Linked DNA regions of Caenorhabditis elegans. The protein of the gene in region 1 purifies or fractionates together with the protein of each later gene. This does not show direct contact. Each region holds a gene or a part of one and is shown on either strand. Other genes may lie near its edges.

Region 1 (7,318 bases):
AGATCGTTGAACCATTGGATCATGTTCTGTCGCTCCTTCTTCTCATCAATACATTCACCTTTGCGGAAAATGTTGCATTGAGCTTCATCTTGGCATCTGAAATAAAAAATTTTTTAAAATTTATGAACATTTTTTACATACGTGTGACCCGGCGGCTTCTCCACCTCATCACAGCTTGATGCAATCTCCTCGAGATCGGGCGGCGAGGTGTCCGAGCACGAGGATCTTCGTGAATCCGACAAGCTTTTCGGTGTATCGACGAGAAACGATAAATCAATTCGGACTGAGTCCGCCTCGGAACTCTCGGTCACTGGTGGAACGGATACATCGATGGCTGATGTTTTGGAGACCTTCGAATTGAGCTCTAGAAGTGTTTTGTGCGAAACGTAGGACGAGCTGGCGGATGATGTTGCCGGCGTCGTAGGGATCTCCAGCTTGTCAAACAATCGTTTCACAGTCATCTCGTCTTCCGGCGTCAATCTCGGACTGTTTGGAGAGCCACGTGGAGTTGGTAGGCATGATGGTTTCCTGTCGTGTGCAGTATGCCCGAATGGGAGATCAATTTGAGTAGGCGAGATGGGAAACGGGAACGCAGATTCCGACGAAGGTTTCGGACATGTGTACTGATGATGAAAGTGCGAGTAGGATCTGCACGTGGATTTGTCTGCAATTTAAAATTGTATTTTCTTTGGGAAATGTTAAGGACATGGAATTGTCGCCTACATAGTGGAATTGTCGGAATATGACGACTGCGATCGACCCACTTCTTGGCGAAGGTGCTTCGTGGTGGAGGTGCTTCTTCGTTTTTTGGAATGACCGTATCAGAACGGAGCACCATAATTGGTTTCCCGCGTAAATTGTTCAGCTGGAACTAGGTTATGTTTTAGTGGGTGGAAAAAATCGCACAATTCAGAGTATTACCTGCACTTTCTTGCTCCTGTCATAGCCGTAAAGTGACGTTTGAACAGTGTTCGGACCTTCGATGAATTTCGGGGCCGGCATCGCTGAAATTTATCATTTAGAGTGTATGTTTTATCCGATCGAGGCGTTAAAATAAAAGTTTTATACATTTTATTCAGATTTTCGAACAAAAATTTGAGAAAATTGGAGAAAATAAAGAGAAATTCAGATGAAATTCGAAAATTTTCTAGCGGCCTACAACACCGTAAACATTCTACAAAAGTCTCATCGCGGCGAGACCATCTGCGCAAGGAATGAAACCTCCCTTTAAGGTGGGTTACTGTAGCCTGCACTTTTCGTTTTGTTTTTCAAAACCTGAATCTTTGCTGCAATTATAAAATGTATTTCCAGATTTTACTCAAATCCAATAATTTATCGAAAAAACACCAAGCACACTTTCAACAAAAAGAAAAATAATCAATGAAACTGGAAGTGGAATAGTAGGAAACAGGAGGAGGACAGAAAAAAGAACCAAAACAGGGATCCGACAAAATTTTTTGGACTAATAGAGAGACAAAAACGGAGAGAAACAATTGGAAAAGATTAATAATATGTCAAAACCGGTGTAGACAACAAATCGATGATAGCCGCTAGTTCTTGTACGGCTCAACGGTTTGACCTTTGCGAATGGTTCCCCAGCCAATCAGGCGCCAACTCTTCTCGAAACGACGTGACATGGCAATCTTCTCTCCAACCTGAATTTAAATACAAATTAAATTTATTATTTTATAAAAAGTGGGAATTACCTCTGTGCAAATAGGATCGTTTAATCTGATCTTCGCGGCGTCTCCCTTCACAGCAGTAACTCTTCCTCCCGTTGACAACGATCCAATGTTCACCAGCAAAGTCTCTTCCTTGACAAGCTTCTGCACCTTGGCTCCCTTCTTCTTTCCTTCAGTACGAACTCCGAGCAATCTTCTCAGAAGATAGAAGGAGATTTCAATTTCGATGAAGATATCTGGAAGAGTGCCAACGGCTCCGAGGATGTGACCGACGAGTCGATCTCCACGGCAGAGTGTCGGGTCGATCTTCGTTCCAACACCGATGAGACCGCCGGGAACGGCGTATTCCAGCTGGTTCTTTTCGGCAAACAGAGAGTCGATACGGGAGAAGATCGGACGGCATTGGAGTTGACCGGTCGCGGTTTTTGAGACGATTCCCGGGCGAACTTCGATTTCTTGTCCGACGCGCAGAATTCCCTTGGTCAATGTTCCTCCGGCGACTCCTCCCTTCAAGTTTTCAACTTCAGATCCTGGCTTGTTAACATCGAATGATCGGATAATGATGAGACGAGCCGGCGACTTGAAGTCACGGACTGGCACGGGGATTTTCTTGCAAAGATACTCGCAAACGAGCTGAAAAATCGCAATTAATCTAGTATACACGCTCTCCTCAAGCGTTCATAATTATTAGAGCGCGCTCGCGCGGCCCCTCACGAACTCCAGAATTCGCGGGGACAGCAGTTTTAGGCGGCTGTTTTTGGCTTCTATGGAAATTATTTTTAATTTTTTGTTTAATAATATTGTTGAGAAGCACCATCCGAATTGAAAATGTGTAAAATTATGAAATCTGACCGAAAACTGAAGGTTTTACAGAGAGGAGTCACCACGGCTTTCTTTAAAATGTATCAGTACAGTCAGTTTTTCGATTTCAGAGTCGTAGAATATGTTATTTTGTAGAGAAAAGTCTGTTTCACAAAAATCCATGTTTGAAATTTTAAAATTGTTCTTATGAAAAACTGAAAATTTGAAAAAATTAGATTCTAACGTAAAATTGTTGATTTTTTGAATATTTTTATATTAGAAATTAAAAAATTAAAATTTCAAACATGGATTTTCGTGAAACAGACTTACAAAATGACATATTTTACGACTCTGAATTCGAAAAACTGACGGTACTGATACATTTTAAAGAAAGCCGTGGTGACTCCTCTCTGTAAAAACTTCAGTTTTCGGTCAGATTTCATAATTTTACACATTTTCAATTCGGATGGTGCTTCTCAACAATATTATAAATCAAAAAAATTAAAAATAATTTCCATAGAAGCCGAATATAGCCAAAAACTGCTGTCCCCGCGAAACGAATTCCCGCGAATTCTGGAGTTCGTGTGGTGCCGCGCGAGCGCGCTCTAATAATTATGAACACTTGAGGAGAGCGTGGTATATTTAAATCCAGATTCAGATCCTTACATCAACATTATATTTAAGCTGCGCAGAAATCGGGATGACTGGAGCATTCTCGGCGACCGTTCCTTGCACAAATCCGGCGATTTGCTCGTAATTTTCGCGGGCTTGCGACTCCTTGATAATATCGACCTTGTTCTGAAGAATCATCAAATGATTCAGCTGCATAATCTCGACGGCGGCGAGATGTTCAGATGTTTGTGGCTGTGGGCATGGTTCGTTTCCGGCGACGAGCAAGAACGCGGCGTCCATGACAGCGGCTCCGTTCAACATGGTGGCCATAAGAATGTCGTGACCTGGGCAATCGACGAATGAGACGTGGCGAACACAGGTGAATTCTCCACCGCATCCGGCGCGCTCGCATGGGAACCGATCGGGTGTTGATGAACCGGCGGATCTGAATTAGAATTCAAAAATTATTTATTTAAATTAAATTTCAGGGAGATATTATAACCTGTAACATCCTGGCCTTGGGCACTCTTGGTTAGAACATCTGTAGATCTTTGCATTAGCGTATCCAAGTTTGATAGTAATATTTCTTTCCAACTCTCTTTTGAACTTGACAGTATGCACACCGGAGAACGCTTTCACCAGAGTGGATTTTCCATGGGCTACGTGGCCAATAGTTCCGATATTAATCGTGGCTTGTCGAGAGATAACCTGAAAAATAACTCTTTAACTCAAAAATTATTGATTTTCAGTACCTCCTCGGTGAGTGGGTTCAAATTATCGACTCCGACTTTGTCCAAATCTTGTTTCGCAAGCCAGCTCTGGCACTTGTCCTTTTCAGCTTCTAAATTAAGAAAGAATTATGAAATTTTCTTGAAACCGAAAAGCTAACACTTACCAGAAGCCATATTTTTTGTTTTTATGATCCCAGTTGAGTCGATTATTGATCTTTAAAAAATTATCATTATAATTAATCGAAATTACTCAAAATTAATTGAAAATCCATAAAGATTGCATAGAAAACAGGCTAAAATTGGATAAAATTAGAAATGGGTTAAAGGCGCATGGGAGTGGTTGGAAGGGTCTCGATGCGATTTCGTGTGTCGATTTACGAGCTCGAATTTTATGTTTTGCTTTTTAGCGCGAACCAGGCAAAAATCGTTGAATTAACGGACATCTGTATATTTTTCGTATGGAAATATTAGCGAAATTGCTTCTTAAAATTATTTATACGGCATTATAAACCATGTATTCAAGTAAAATGCAATAATTATTCATCATAAATCACCGAAAATCCCAAAATAACAAAAGAGTATCATAAATTAAGCAGAAATGGAGTCCACAAGCGTCTTCGCATTGACGAATTCTGCGGCTTCCTCCGGATAATTCCCAGAAGCAATCGATTCACGGAGGTCGGCCACAGCTTTTTGGAGACGTGATTGAGAATCGCGGACCATGTTGGCAGTTTCCTGAAAATATTTTAATTTCGTATACTCGTAAATCGGATTATTTCAAAAAACCTTAACAATATCCTTCGACTTCTTGGCAACATACTCCTCGTCCTCGTTGGTGGCGTCGGCGGCGAGTTGGGCAGCCTTCTGCTCCTCCTTCACAACTTGCTTCTCGTAATAGGCGACTTCTTTGACGAGACGTTGCACGGTTCCCGTCTTGATTCGGAGCGCTTTCAGCTGATCGGCTTGGGTCGACATGGCGGCGGGAGGTTCTGCAATGTGAATTTTTGAAACAGAGAACGAGATTGTGAGCTTGCTTTTATGGACTAAAAATCGATAGAAAAAGGCGCAATACCACCGAAAATGTTGTGCTCAATGAGCCGAAAAAGGACGGGAAAGCGAGCAGATGGTCAGACACGCTCGGCGATTTCGAAATAAATACAAATTGACCGCTGTCTGTTGGGCGACACAGGTTCCCGCCAAAAAATCGACTGTTCAAATGATTTCGCAATACATACATAGAGAACGAACAAGAAGGATCAATGAAAAATTCTATGAATTTGAAATTAGGTACTGATGGAACGGCAGATGCACCCATGGGGGTACTGCATAAATAATAAAATTTTAAAACAAGACATAAATTTAAAAATTCAGATTTAAAAAAAACAAACAAAAAATAGCAAAATCTAGAAATTTAAAAAAATTCATCAAATATTAAAAATCTATTGCAATCTGGTCAGTTTGCAAATATACATTGGTCCAAAGTTAGAGGGTAGAAACGGCACGACGAGGGCTCCCAGTGGAGTGTCATGGAAACGATAGAGGCCTGATGACGTCATATGGGATACGAGTTGATGTAGGGATTCCTCGACGGTCACGATTCCAAAGTCATTGCGTACGACGGCTACAGCGTTCTCGACGACTGCCTGAAGAAATTTGAATTAGCATTTTTGAGCTGTTATTTCGACAAAAAACCCCGGTCTCGACACGCCAGAAGTACTGTAGCCGCGAAAGTACGCAATCACCGGATCCTACGAAAAAATGCATGCAGAATTTCGGGATTTTTTTTGAGGGAAAATGTTGGGATCGGGCGAGAGTTGAAGCCAGAATCAAATTTTTAAACGGAAATCGTCAAAATTTGAAATTTTGATTTGATTTTCTCAACTGTTTAGTGAAAATTCGAGATTTATAGTGTTAAAAGAAACGATTTCTTCACATTTTAAACTTTTGTGAAACTATCAGAGCAAAATTTGAGCATTTCGGGGTACTGTAGCGGTGAAAATACGCAAACACGGCAGGGAGCGCAAAAAAAAATGCAGAATGCGATTTTTTTTAAACTAAAATTGGAAAATAGCCGAATATTGTTTTGAAAAATTGAGTTTTTCACGTTTTTTGTAAAATTTTCATCGATTTTTCATCAATTTTCGAATTTTTTACAAATCGAGAAAAAACTATATTTGTCATCATTTTTCAAGGAGTTTTTCAAAAATCGATGCAACAAAAAATTTGGAACTACAGTACTCCTTAAAGGCGCATATATTTTCCTATTTAACAAAAAAATTTGTCGTGCCAAGACCAGGTTCGAGCGAAAACCTCGTTTTGGCTTGGTGAGAGTGTGCACGTCGAGTAGACAACCGAGCCACCAACTTTTACAGATCGCAGTGCATTTCTGAAAGGAAAAATAATTTGAGGGAAAGCCGAGGATCCTTACACAAGAATCTTGGTCTGAAGAACCGGAAGATCAAGCCTCTGCTGAGTGGATCCTGTGCTGAAAAGGTTTCCGTCGTCGGTGCTGACTGATAGACGATCCGTCGAGCACGGAACATCGACGAGCACTTTATCGTAGGCCTCGAATTCATCCCAAGTTTTGACGTCGGACGCGTCCTTGCGTTTTAGGACGAATTTGTCGATTGTCTGCAGGAAAATTTTTGGAGTTTTAGCTAATTTTGGAGGGATTTATATTTAAAAAAAAGAATTTTCGACATTTTTTAATCGAAAAAAAAAACTCTAATTTCAAAAAATTGTTTTATTTTCTGATTTTCCTCAAAAGAGCAGAAAAAAGTTGAAATAATTCGTATTTAATTCAATTTTCTCACTGAAAACCCAATTTTTGAGGTGTTTAAATTGGAAAAATTCGAAATTTAAATCTTGAGAAAAATTCACATTTCTGAATGAATTTTCAGGTGTTTTTAACGAAAATCGTCATTTTTTCAAGTAAATTCTAGAAAATCGAGTGAAAATTTCAAATGTTGGTTTTTTTAAAGAAGATTTCAAACTATGGAAAAAAGTTAAGTGAAATTTCGAGAAAATTCTAGTAATTTAAGCAAATATTCGAAAATTTTGGAAATTTTTGAGCCATTTTTTGGTGAATTTTCGGATTTTAAATTTTAAAAAAATTCCGAATTTTAAAGAATTTTTTTGCGAAAAAAATCGGCAATTTCTCCAAATTTGTCAAAAAATCAATTTTTTTTTCAGAAAAATTTGACTTTTTTGTTTTTTTTACAAAAACTGATATTGCACCTCGCTATCCTCTGGCACATATGTCATAAGCGCACGCTTCAGCTGCCCAAGCCTGGCCAATTTGAAATCATTACAAACGATTTTCGAAGGCAAATTCGACAGAGCCGCTAGAAGACTTTTTCCACCGGGAGCCGCACACATATCCAACAGGGAATCGTCTTTTTGAAGGCCCAAAGCCAAAACTGGGAGCAGTGAGCCACCGTCTAGAAGCCAGTAACTCGGAACTCCGACTTCATCTTTCATCGGAGCCGGGAA
Region 2 (9,271 bases), 240 kb from region 1:
AAAAAATCCCACATTTTTTGTAGATCAAACCGAAAAGAGACACTTTGACACCACGTGTCGATTCCAGCCAAAAACCAACCATCCATCAGCCCAAACTCGATTTCCTTTGGGCAGTCCATCTGGTGCTAATCCGCTCATTTTTGAACTGAAATTTTAAAAATAATTTTTTTTTTTAATTTAAGATCAAAGTTCAAATTGTTGCAGAAGAAAAAAAAATTTAAAATCACGTTAATAATATTTTCTCACTTAAAATTTTAAAGGTTGAGTACCGAAATCTGTGAAATATTTTTTATATTACTCCAAATTTTCCCCTAATTCCGAATATCTATGTGAAAAAATTCAAAAAAAATTCCCTGATATTATATTTTAGCTTGAAATCGTAGAATTTCATTTGTCCCCCGCATCACTTTTTTTAAAATTCGCGCCCAAACAAATTCGCATTGGAGCGCGCTTTGATTTTCTTCATTTAAATATTTTATTTATTTTCCGCCGAATTCAGTTTAAACCAGTTTTATTCATTTTTGTCGAAAAAAATCGATAAAAGCTCGACAAAAATGAATGAAACTGGTTTTCAAAAAACTGCATTCGGCGAAAAATAAATAAAATATTTAAATGAAGAAAATCAAAGCGCGCTCCAATGCGAATTTCTTTGGGCGCGAATTTGAAAAAAAGTGATGCTAGTACAAGCGATTTCAAGCTTAAATATAAAATCAGGGAAATTTTTTTGAATTTTTTCACATAGATATTCGAAATCAGGGGAAAATTTGGAGTCAATTAAAAATAAATTAAAACAATGTAGTCAACGGACATTGAAGAGTGACCCCGACATCACCCGATTAAATAGCAATCGGAATGAAAAAATGCGGAAAAAAAAAGAAAAAAATTGTGACGTTATCAGTTCGAAAAGGACGTCGAACCCGGAGCAGACCGCCTGTCATGGAAAAAATATTTAGTCGAGTTTTTTCATTTTCAATGACGAATTGTGGAGGAGTTTCTCACAAAAAATTCAAAAATTGCACTTCCGGGATTTTTCTACTCAGTAAGCCTAGTGGGGAAATTGCTTTAAAACATGCCCATAGGGTCACAATGACCGAATATCACGATAAAAAAATTCAAAAAATTTTCTAGATTTTATATGATTTTTTTTTGAAAATTGAAAAATCTCAGTTTTTGCCTAATTCCTATTTGAATTACCGCCAATTGAAATTGTTCGATGGAGCGCACTTGCATTATTTTTATTTATTTATTTTATTTTTCTCATTATTTCACTGATTTTATTCGTTTTTTGGGGGTTTTTAATCGGAAAAATAGAGAAAAATGCAAATTGGTCATTAAAAAATTACTGAAAATGGGTAAAACTGTGTTTCGACGCCAAAAATCCTGAAAATAGCATATTCCACAGTTTTACTCATTTTCAGTTACTTTTTAATAAATCTTATAAGCATTTACCTTGCATTTTTCTCTCTTTTTCCGATAAAAATACACAAATAATGAAGAAAATCAGTGAAATAATGAGAAAAATAAAATAAATAGTGCAAGCGCGCTCCATCGAACGAACCCAATTGGCGGTAATTCAAATAGAAATTAGGGGAAAACTGAGATTTTTCAATTTTCAAAAAATCATATAAAATTTAGAAATTTTTTTTGAATTTTTTAATCATGATATTCGGCCATTGTGAAGCAATTTTCCCACTGGGCGCACTCCACCTTAAAAAAATTTCATTGAAAATCAAAAATGTTGCCAATTTTTTTAATAAAATCCTTCCGAAATCTGAAAGTTGGTAATTTTATAGAAAGTTTTAATTATTTTTCTATTTTTCGCGTCTAGAAACTTCAAGAAAACAACACAAAATGACGTTTGGTCACACCACAAAACACATTTTGTTTGTTTCCGATGGAAACAAAAATCGTAATTTTTCCATTTTCCCCTTACACAAAAGAAAGGCAAATTTTCGAAAATTTGATAAGAAACTTGAGATAATCAATAAAGGTTCAAAAAATATTCCGGCGTTGAAACAATGGCAGTTGCCCTTCACCACGTGATCAGGTGACCTATGCGCACGCGCGCGGGTCTCCGAGGACCACCTCTTATCGATCATTTCTGGCGGGGGGAGAATGGTCAAGTATTGAACACAGAACGTCTGCTTCGTAACTGCTGGAAAAAGAAGCCTGCGATGAAAAACCAGCTCACTGTTCATAACGAATTGGGAGCCCACAAAAATGGAAAAAAAACGGGGGATGGGAGACAATAAATAGAAGGTCAAAGGTGGAGTATCGAAACCTGAGATTTTGCATTTTTAGACCCAAAATACTACCGAAAACTACCTAATGAGGCGTTTTGAAAATTTCTCAAAAAAAGGTTATGGCGGTTCAAAGTTCTGGGAAAAATAGCCCATTTTCAGCTAAAATCGAAATTTTTGCCAACTTCTCGGTGTCGTAGAGTCTGGAACTTAAGTTTTATTTAATTATCACTTTTTAAACAATATTTTGGTCTTTTATTAGACATTTATTCGTTAATGTAAGCACATTTTCGACCAGTGGGGGACAAATAAAAGTTACATTTTTGTGCCCCAATGATCGAAAAATCAACTAATCAACGTCTAATAAAAGACCAAAATATTGTTTAAAAAGTGATAATTAAATAAAAATTAAGTTCGAAACACTGAGACACCGAGAAGTTGGCAAAATTTCGATTTTAGCTGAAAAGGGGTATTTTTTCCGAAACTTTGAACCGCCATAACTTTTTTTTGTAAAAAATTTTCAGAACGTCTCATTACAAAATTCGGTAGTTTTGGGTCATTTTAGGTCTAAAAAAGCAAAGTCTAAAATATCGGTACTCCACATTTAAAGGGGGAAAGGAACAAAACAACAGAACAGATGAAGAGAAATGATAGTGCCAAAATTGAATAATACTATAATAATAGTCCAGAAAGAATCGGAGCCAATTACACCAATAAAAGCAAAAAAAAAACAATGGGAATTTTCAATTTTCAATTTTCAAATAATTAATCATCCTCCTCATCACTGTCTTCATCGTCGCCGGCCTTCTTTCGGTTATCTCTGCTGGCTTCTTCCGCGTCGACTTGTTGATCCAAACCCTTTGGAGCCATGAGTCCATCCTGAAAGAAAAATTTTTTTTCGTTTTTCTAGCTTTCAAGGTGGAGTACCGAAATTTGAGGCTTTGTTTTTTAGACCCAAAATGATCCAAAACTACCAAATTCCGTAATGAGACGTTCTGAAAATTTTTCAAAAAAAAGTTATGGCCGCTCAAAGTTTTGGAAACATGTTATATTTTCAGCTAAAATCTCAAATTTTGGCAACTTCTCGATGTCGCAGCGGTTGGAACTTAATTTTTATTTGATTGTCGTTTTTTAATGCATGTTTTGGCATTTTATTTCGTGTTTTTTCGTTGACTGAGATTCTTTATGGTCGATGCGGGCACAAATACGATAAAAGTTTGAGCCCGCATCGACCGAAAAAGCATCTCAATTAACGAAACAACACGAGATAAAATGCCAAAACATGCATTAAAAAACGACAATCAAATAAAAATTAAGTTCCAACCGCTGCGACATCGAGAAGTTGCCAAAATTTGAGATTTTAGCTAAAAATATAACATTTTTCCAAAACTTTGAGCGGCCATAACTTTTTTTTGAGAGATTTTCAGAGCGTCTCATTACGAAATTTGGTAGTTTTTGGCCATTTTTGGTCTAAAAAGTTTTTCGTGATAATTTTACACGAATTGGCAAGTAGAGCTTACACGTGATGCGAATCATTGATAAAACATCAATTTCTGTTTTTACTGCACTGAAATTCCGGCACAATAGCTCTCGTAAATCGACACAAAAGTAATTAAATCACTCCGCGGAAAAATGGAATTTGGATGATTCTGATTTTGAATTTGATTTTAAAAAAAAACCGTTAACCACATTCAAAACAAGAATCGAGTTATTCAAATTTCTTTTTTCCGCGGAGTGACTTAATTACTTTTGTGTCGATTTACGAGAGCTATTGTGCCAGTACAGTAAAAACAGAAATTGATGTATTTATCAATTATTAGTATCACGTGTAAGCTCTACTTGCCAATTCATGTATTATAAAATCATCACGAAAAAATGCTTGAAATCGTCTTAAAAACTCCAAAACTCACATCATCCTCATCCTCTTCCTCGTCCTCGTCTTCCTCTGATTCCTCCTCATCCTCATCTCCATCACCCTTCTTCTTCTCATCATCAATATCCGTCACAATTCTCGCCTCCTCCTTGATCGTGAATTTTCCCTTGAATCCTTCAATCGCATTTTTGATAGTATCCAGAATGCTGTTGACGGCCTCAATTCCACCTTCTCTGTCCAATGTTTGTGTGGTGACGACGAAGTGGGGAGCGGCGATGAGATTGATCTGAATTAGACAATTATTTTTTAAATATTTAAAAAAAAACAATTTCGCACTGCGCACATGGGCGTGGTTTATTGGAGGCGGGGATTCCGGCCGCAACCCTGCGGCGCGCTTTTTTCTCGCTTTTTGGGTGCGGTAATTTTCCTTTTTTTTCGTTTTTTTTGTCCAAAATTTCATGATTTCGATCGATTTTGGCCGTTTTTTTTTCGAATAAAGAAGTGTTCAGCTATTTTTTAAATGAAAAATAACCAAGTTTTCACATTTTTTAACCGAAAAAAAATCACCCAAATCTTGCACATTATTTGAAATTCCCCTGTTAATTTATCTTAATATTGTGAATTATTGTCATTTTTAAAATGTCCTTCTTGATAATTTGTATATTTAAATGAAGAGAAAGCGAGTTTTATCGTATTTTCAGAAAGAGAGACAAAAAAGCATTTTTTCGGGTAAAAACTGTGTTTAAAAAATAGCTGAAAACTCTCTTTCTGAAAAATATTATAAAACTCGCTTTCTCTTCATATAAATATACAACAAGTTATAAAAGAAGACATTGAAAAATGACAATAATTCACAATATTAAAAGAAATTAACCGGAGAATTTTTCGGGTAAAAACTGTACTATGAAAACTTGGTTTTTTTCTTCGAAAAAACGGACAAAATCGAGCGACATCGTGAAATTTTAAACAAAAAACGCAAAAAGCGAGAAAAAAGCGCGCCCATGTGTAAAATCTATAAAATGAAACCTTAATCGGGAAGGTTCCATTTGAGCAGTTCTTTCCAGCAATAAGTGCAGCCTTCACAGCATCAATACCATCATAATCGAAGCAGGAGACTTCAATATCAGCGCGAATTTTAACCGCCTGAGGGGTGAGCTTCTTCCTAATGTCCTCCAAGAGTTTCTCCTTAATATCTGCACTAATATCACACTCATCCAAGATCGTCGGTTCGGTGATCGCCTTCTTGAATGCGTCATATGAAGCTGCTTTCCGTTTCTCTTTGCGATCAAAGTGCCACGCGGTCTTTTGGTACAAATCCTCCAACTCTTCGTCGGTAGTGTATCCGACTTGCTCGGCCACGTGTCTCAAAATGCTGTTCACCATTTTGGCGTTCGCGAATCGCTCGTCGCACTGTTTCAAGTCTTTCTGGTAGACACGACGCTTCGACAGATCAATGTAACCTTTGTCCTTGTCGACACGGATCACGACGACGCTTTCACTTCGGCCGACACGGATTAGCTTGTTCACTGAACGGATACGACGACGGGAGAGCTCGGAGAGCAGGATCATACCCTCTGAAAAATGATTTAATTTAAAGGAGGACGAACGGTTCGGACGATTTTGAACGTATAGACTCAAAATGAGCTCAAACGAACGAATTTCGTAATGAAACTGCTCAAAAATGTTTCAAAAATTTTTTTATGGCGGTTCAAAATTTTGAAAAATTGCACTGATTTTAGCTAAAATCACGAATTTTTCCCTTTTTTCCGTGCCAAATCCTTCCTAAGTTAGCTTTTTTGGAATCATCGTCTTTTATTACATATATTGGTAGTTTATCTCATTTAATTTTACCGATTAAAGTATATTTAAAGCCGATAGGTAACCAAAAATCAACGAAATTAAATGAGATAAACTACCAATATATGTAATAAAAGACGATAATTCCAAAAAAGCTAACTTAGGAAGGATTTGACACGGAAAAAAGGGGAAAATTCGTGATTTTAGCTAAAATCATTGTAATTTTTCAAAATTTTGAACCGCCATAAAAATTTTTTGAAACATTTTTGAGCAGTTTCATTACGAAATTCGTTCATTTGAGCTCATTTTGGGTCTATACGTTCAAAATCGTCCGAACCGTTAGTCCTCTTTTAATTCGATTTTTGTTTTAAAATGATGATTTTAAAAACCTTTATCATTGTACTCGGAAAGCCGGACGTAGGCACCCATATCGGCAATCATTTTAACATTGGCGACAACGGTCTCCTCGACATCGGGGAATTGATTCTCGTAGAAACGGCATTTCATTAACGCCATCTGAAATGAGAAGAAGAAAAGTTTAGCATTAAAAAAAAAGAAAATTGAAAAGAAATAAGAAAATTATAAATAATGATTTTGGGAAATCAACCATTGAAAATTAATAAATTCCCAATTTCAAATTCATTATATCGCGAACAAATTATTCATTAGACGAAAATTTCCAACAAAAACAAGCAAAAAAAATGAAAAAGCTACGATACCTACACAAAATGAATGAAGGAAATGACCTACTCTAAACAGAACAAAAAAAACGAAATTTAAAAAGTATTTAATTGAGAATTCGGGCATGATTATTCTCGAAAGTTCAACAGAGTGAAAAAGGCTCTTTGAAAAGGGGAAAATGAGTGGAATTCGTCTAAAACACGTAACCGGAGATATTTAGGATTGAAGGTTGAGAAGGGTTTGTTGGTTTCCTGGAAGATAGGTGACATTCTTGTTCTTGGCCATACGCTCGGCGATCTCTTCGGCGGCCTCAATCTTTCTGAGCTCGACAAGTCCGTCTCCGGCAGAGGCAAAGGCCTTGGCAAGAAGCTTTGCGGCTTGAGCATCTCCTTCGGCGGTGGTAACGGCGGCGATCTTCATTTGTTCAGCCTTCTCGACAAGGTATCTCGCTTTTTCGGCTTCTTGCTGTGCGACTTGCTTCATTTCGACGGCTTCAGTGAATTCACGTCCAAAGTTCAAGTGGGTCTGAAAAATCATGGAAATAGCTTAAACTTCATAAATCTGGTGAACTTACAATTGCAATATCATCAAGGAGAAGTCCGAACTGTGCAGCACGTTCACGAAGAGCCACGGACGCCCGTTGGGAGACAACCTCACGCTGGGTGATCATCTCATGAGCATCGAATTGCGCCTGGAATTAATTTTAACAAATTTTAAATCAAAATCAGTTCGCAATATTTAAATTAAAATTTTTTCTCACCACAACAGCCTTCAAAACTTCATTTGTAATGGAAGGAAGGACTCTTTCTGCGTAGTCCAAACCAATGTTCAGGTAGATGTTTGGAAGACGATCGGGGCTTGGTCTGTGAAGGATACGGAGAGTAATGTTGACGTTTTGCAAGTCTTTACTTCCAGTGATGGTGGTGACGGCTCTCGGCGTTGACCGGATATCAAAAATGATTGGTTTTTGTACCCATGGAATTAAGAAATGAGTTCCTTCTCCGACGACCTCGTTTTTCACTCCACTGAATCGGTCGAAGATGACTGCTCGTTGACCTCCATCAACATTGTAAAGAGCAGTTTGTGCGATTCCTCCAGCGATGGAAAGGCCCACTCCGACAGTTCCCAAGCGACCCAAAAGCTTCTGTGCAGATGCAGCCATTCTGGTAAATGGAAGTTAATAACTTGGACAAAAAATGGGAAATAGAAAGAGAAATGAACGAGCTATGATGCAAAATTGATAATAATCCTAATTATCACGAAATTAGATGGATGAATTAAATGGTGTCAGGAAATCTAAATTGAAAAAGTGAGTTTAGTCGAGTAAAATTAGAAAACAAAAAATACTTCAAAAATAATTACGGAATGTTATAAATAATGCAACACAAAGTATTTTTCGACTTTCTCCACGAATAAATCGATAATAACAGTGAGCCTGAATCAAAAAGTACAAAATATCAATAACTTATTTATTTGCAAAATTATTTAATTAAATTTTAACTAACTTTTCTGCTTTTTTAGCTTAAAAAATCGATTTAAATGATGAAATAAGTTGCGCAAAAAATAAAAGAGTTTAAAGGGAGGCTGCATTTCATCGAGAGGGTCTCGCCACGAAATGCGCATCAAACGAGTGTGACCGTACCTCAGATTTTGGGAGACACACTCACTGAATTTTTGCGAATATTTTAGGATTTCTTTTTGTTCTCAATGGTTTTTCGCTAGGTTTTAATGAAAAAAGTGTGTGATCTGGTCGATTTTAATTATCTTTAAAGACAAAATTTGTATTTTTGTAGTAATTTTATCCGAGAATATCGGGAACCTTTCATTGAATATTTTTCTCTGATTTTTCTTCTCCATTTTCGATCGAAATTTGCCGCTTTTACACATTCAAATTGTTTACTTTACAGGGTATGGCTCACGCGTTGAGAAAGACAAGAAAGCTCCGTGGTCACGTCTCGCACGGACACGGACGTATTGGAAAGCACAGGAAGCATCCTGGAGGTCGCGGTAACGCCGGAGGTCAACATCACCACCGTATCAACCGTGACAAGTACCATCCTGGATACTTCGGAAAGGTATTATTTTTAAGGTACTTTTTTAAAAGTTCGTTGGAAATTATCCGCTCCTATCTTGGCGCTTCCATTGGTGAATATGGCTGTGTATGTTATAGGAGAGATAGTAGTGCCTTTTGGCTTTCGGATCTCCTTCGGTGTTTGTCTTGCATCTCGACAAATGTCATCCTCTGGGTTCGAGACAATTAAATCTAATATGTTCTTTATTATCTGACACTCAAACTTTAATTTTCAGGTTGGAATGAGAGTGTTCCATCTCAACAAGAACCAACACTACTGCCCAACCGTCAACGTCGAGCGTTTGTGGTCTCTTGTCCCACAGGAGGTTCGCGACAAGGCCACCGGAGGCAAATCCCCAGTCATTGACTGCACCAAGCTTGGATACTTCAAGGTGTGTTTTGAAACAAGTCAAACAAGAATTTCTCTCGTCTTGGCGCTTCCACTGGTGAATGTGGTTGTGTATGTTACGAGAGACAAAGTAGCGCCTAACGGCTTTCGGATCTCCTTCGGTGTTTGTCTTGAATTTCGACAAATGTCATCCTCTGGGTTCGAGACAATTATCTTTCATGACTATGAAACGTAAATTTAACTGTTCTTATTTTCAGGTT

What was found.
Region 2: the proteins of eif-2gamma (region 1) and eif-2alpha fractionate together in Caenorhabditis elegans (co-fractionation; one large-scale study listed by BioGRID). This does not show direct contact.

What each region holds. Positions count from the first base shown.
Region 1 is NC_003279.8:2,309,993-2,317,310, reverse strand, and holds eif-2gamma (protein-synthesizing GTPase), read right to left. Parts: upstream 4,041-7,318; 5' UTR 4,001-4,040; coding exon 3,991-4,000; intron 3,937-3,990; coding exon 3,848-3,936; intron 3,804-3,847; coding exon 3,598-3,803; intron 3,541-3,597; coding exon 3,150-3,540; intron 2,316-3,149; coding exon 1,707-2,315; intron 1,656-1,706; coding exon 1,551-1,655; 3' UTR 1,319-1,550; downstream 1-1,318. Other genes in the region: ekl-7 (PEHE domain-containing protein), read right to left, coding at 1-96, 142-664, 724-871, 922-1,002; tbca-1 (Tubulin-specific chaperone A), read right to left, coding at 4,415-4,561, 4,613-4,801; 5-cytosine rRNA methyltransferase nsun-4, read right to left, coding at 5,266-5,469, 6,137-6,212, 6,255-6,457, 7,064-7,318.
Region 2 is NC_003279.8:2,069,835-2,079,105, reverse strand, and holds eif-2alpha (Eukaryotic translation initiation factor 2 subunit 1), read right to left. Parts: upstream 6,427-9,271; 5' UTR 6,418-6,426; coding exon 6,300-6,417; intron 5,688-6,299; coding exon 5,140-5,687; intron 4,401-5,139; exon of another isoform or gene 4,400-4,400; coding exon 4,151-4,399; intron 3,120-4,150; coding exon 3,006-3,119; 3' UTR 2,181-3,005; downstream 1-2,180. Other genes in the region: pcyt-2.1 (ethanolamine-phosphate cytidylyltransferase), read right to left, coding at 80-138; phb-1 (Mitochondrial prohibitin complex protein 1), read right to left, coding at 6,808-7,116, 7,166-7,282, 7,352-7,753; rpl-27A (Large ribosomal subunit protein uL15), read left to right, coding at 8,502-8,666, 8,899-9,054, 9,269-9,271.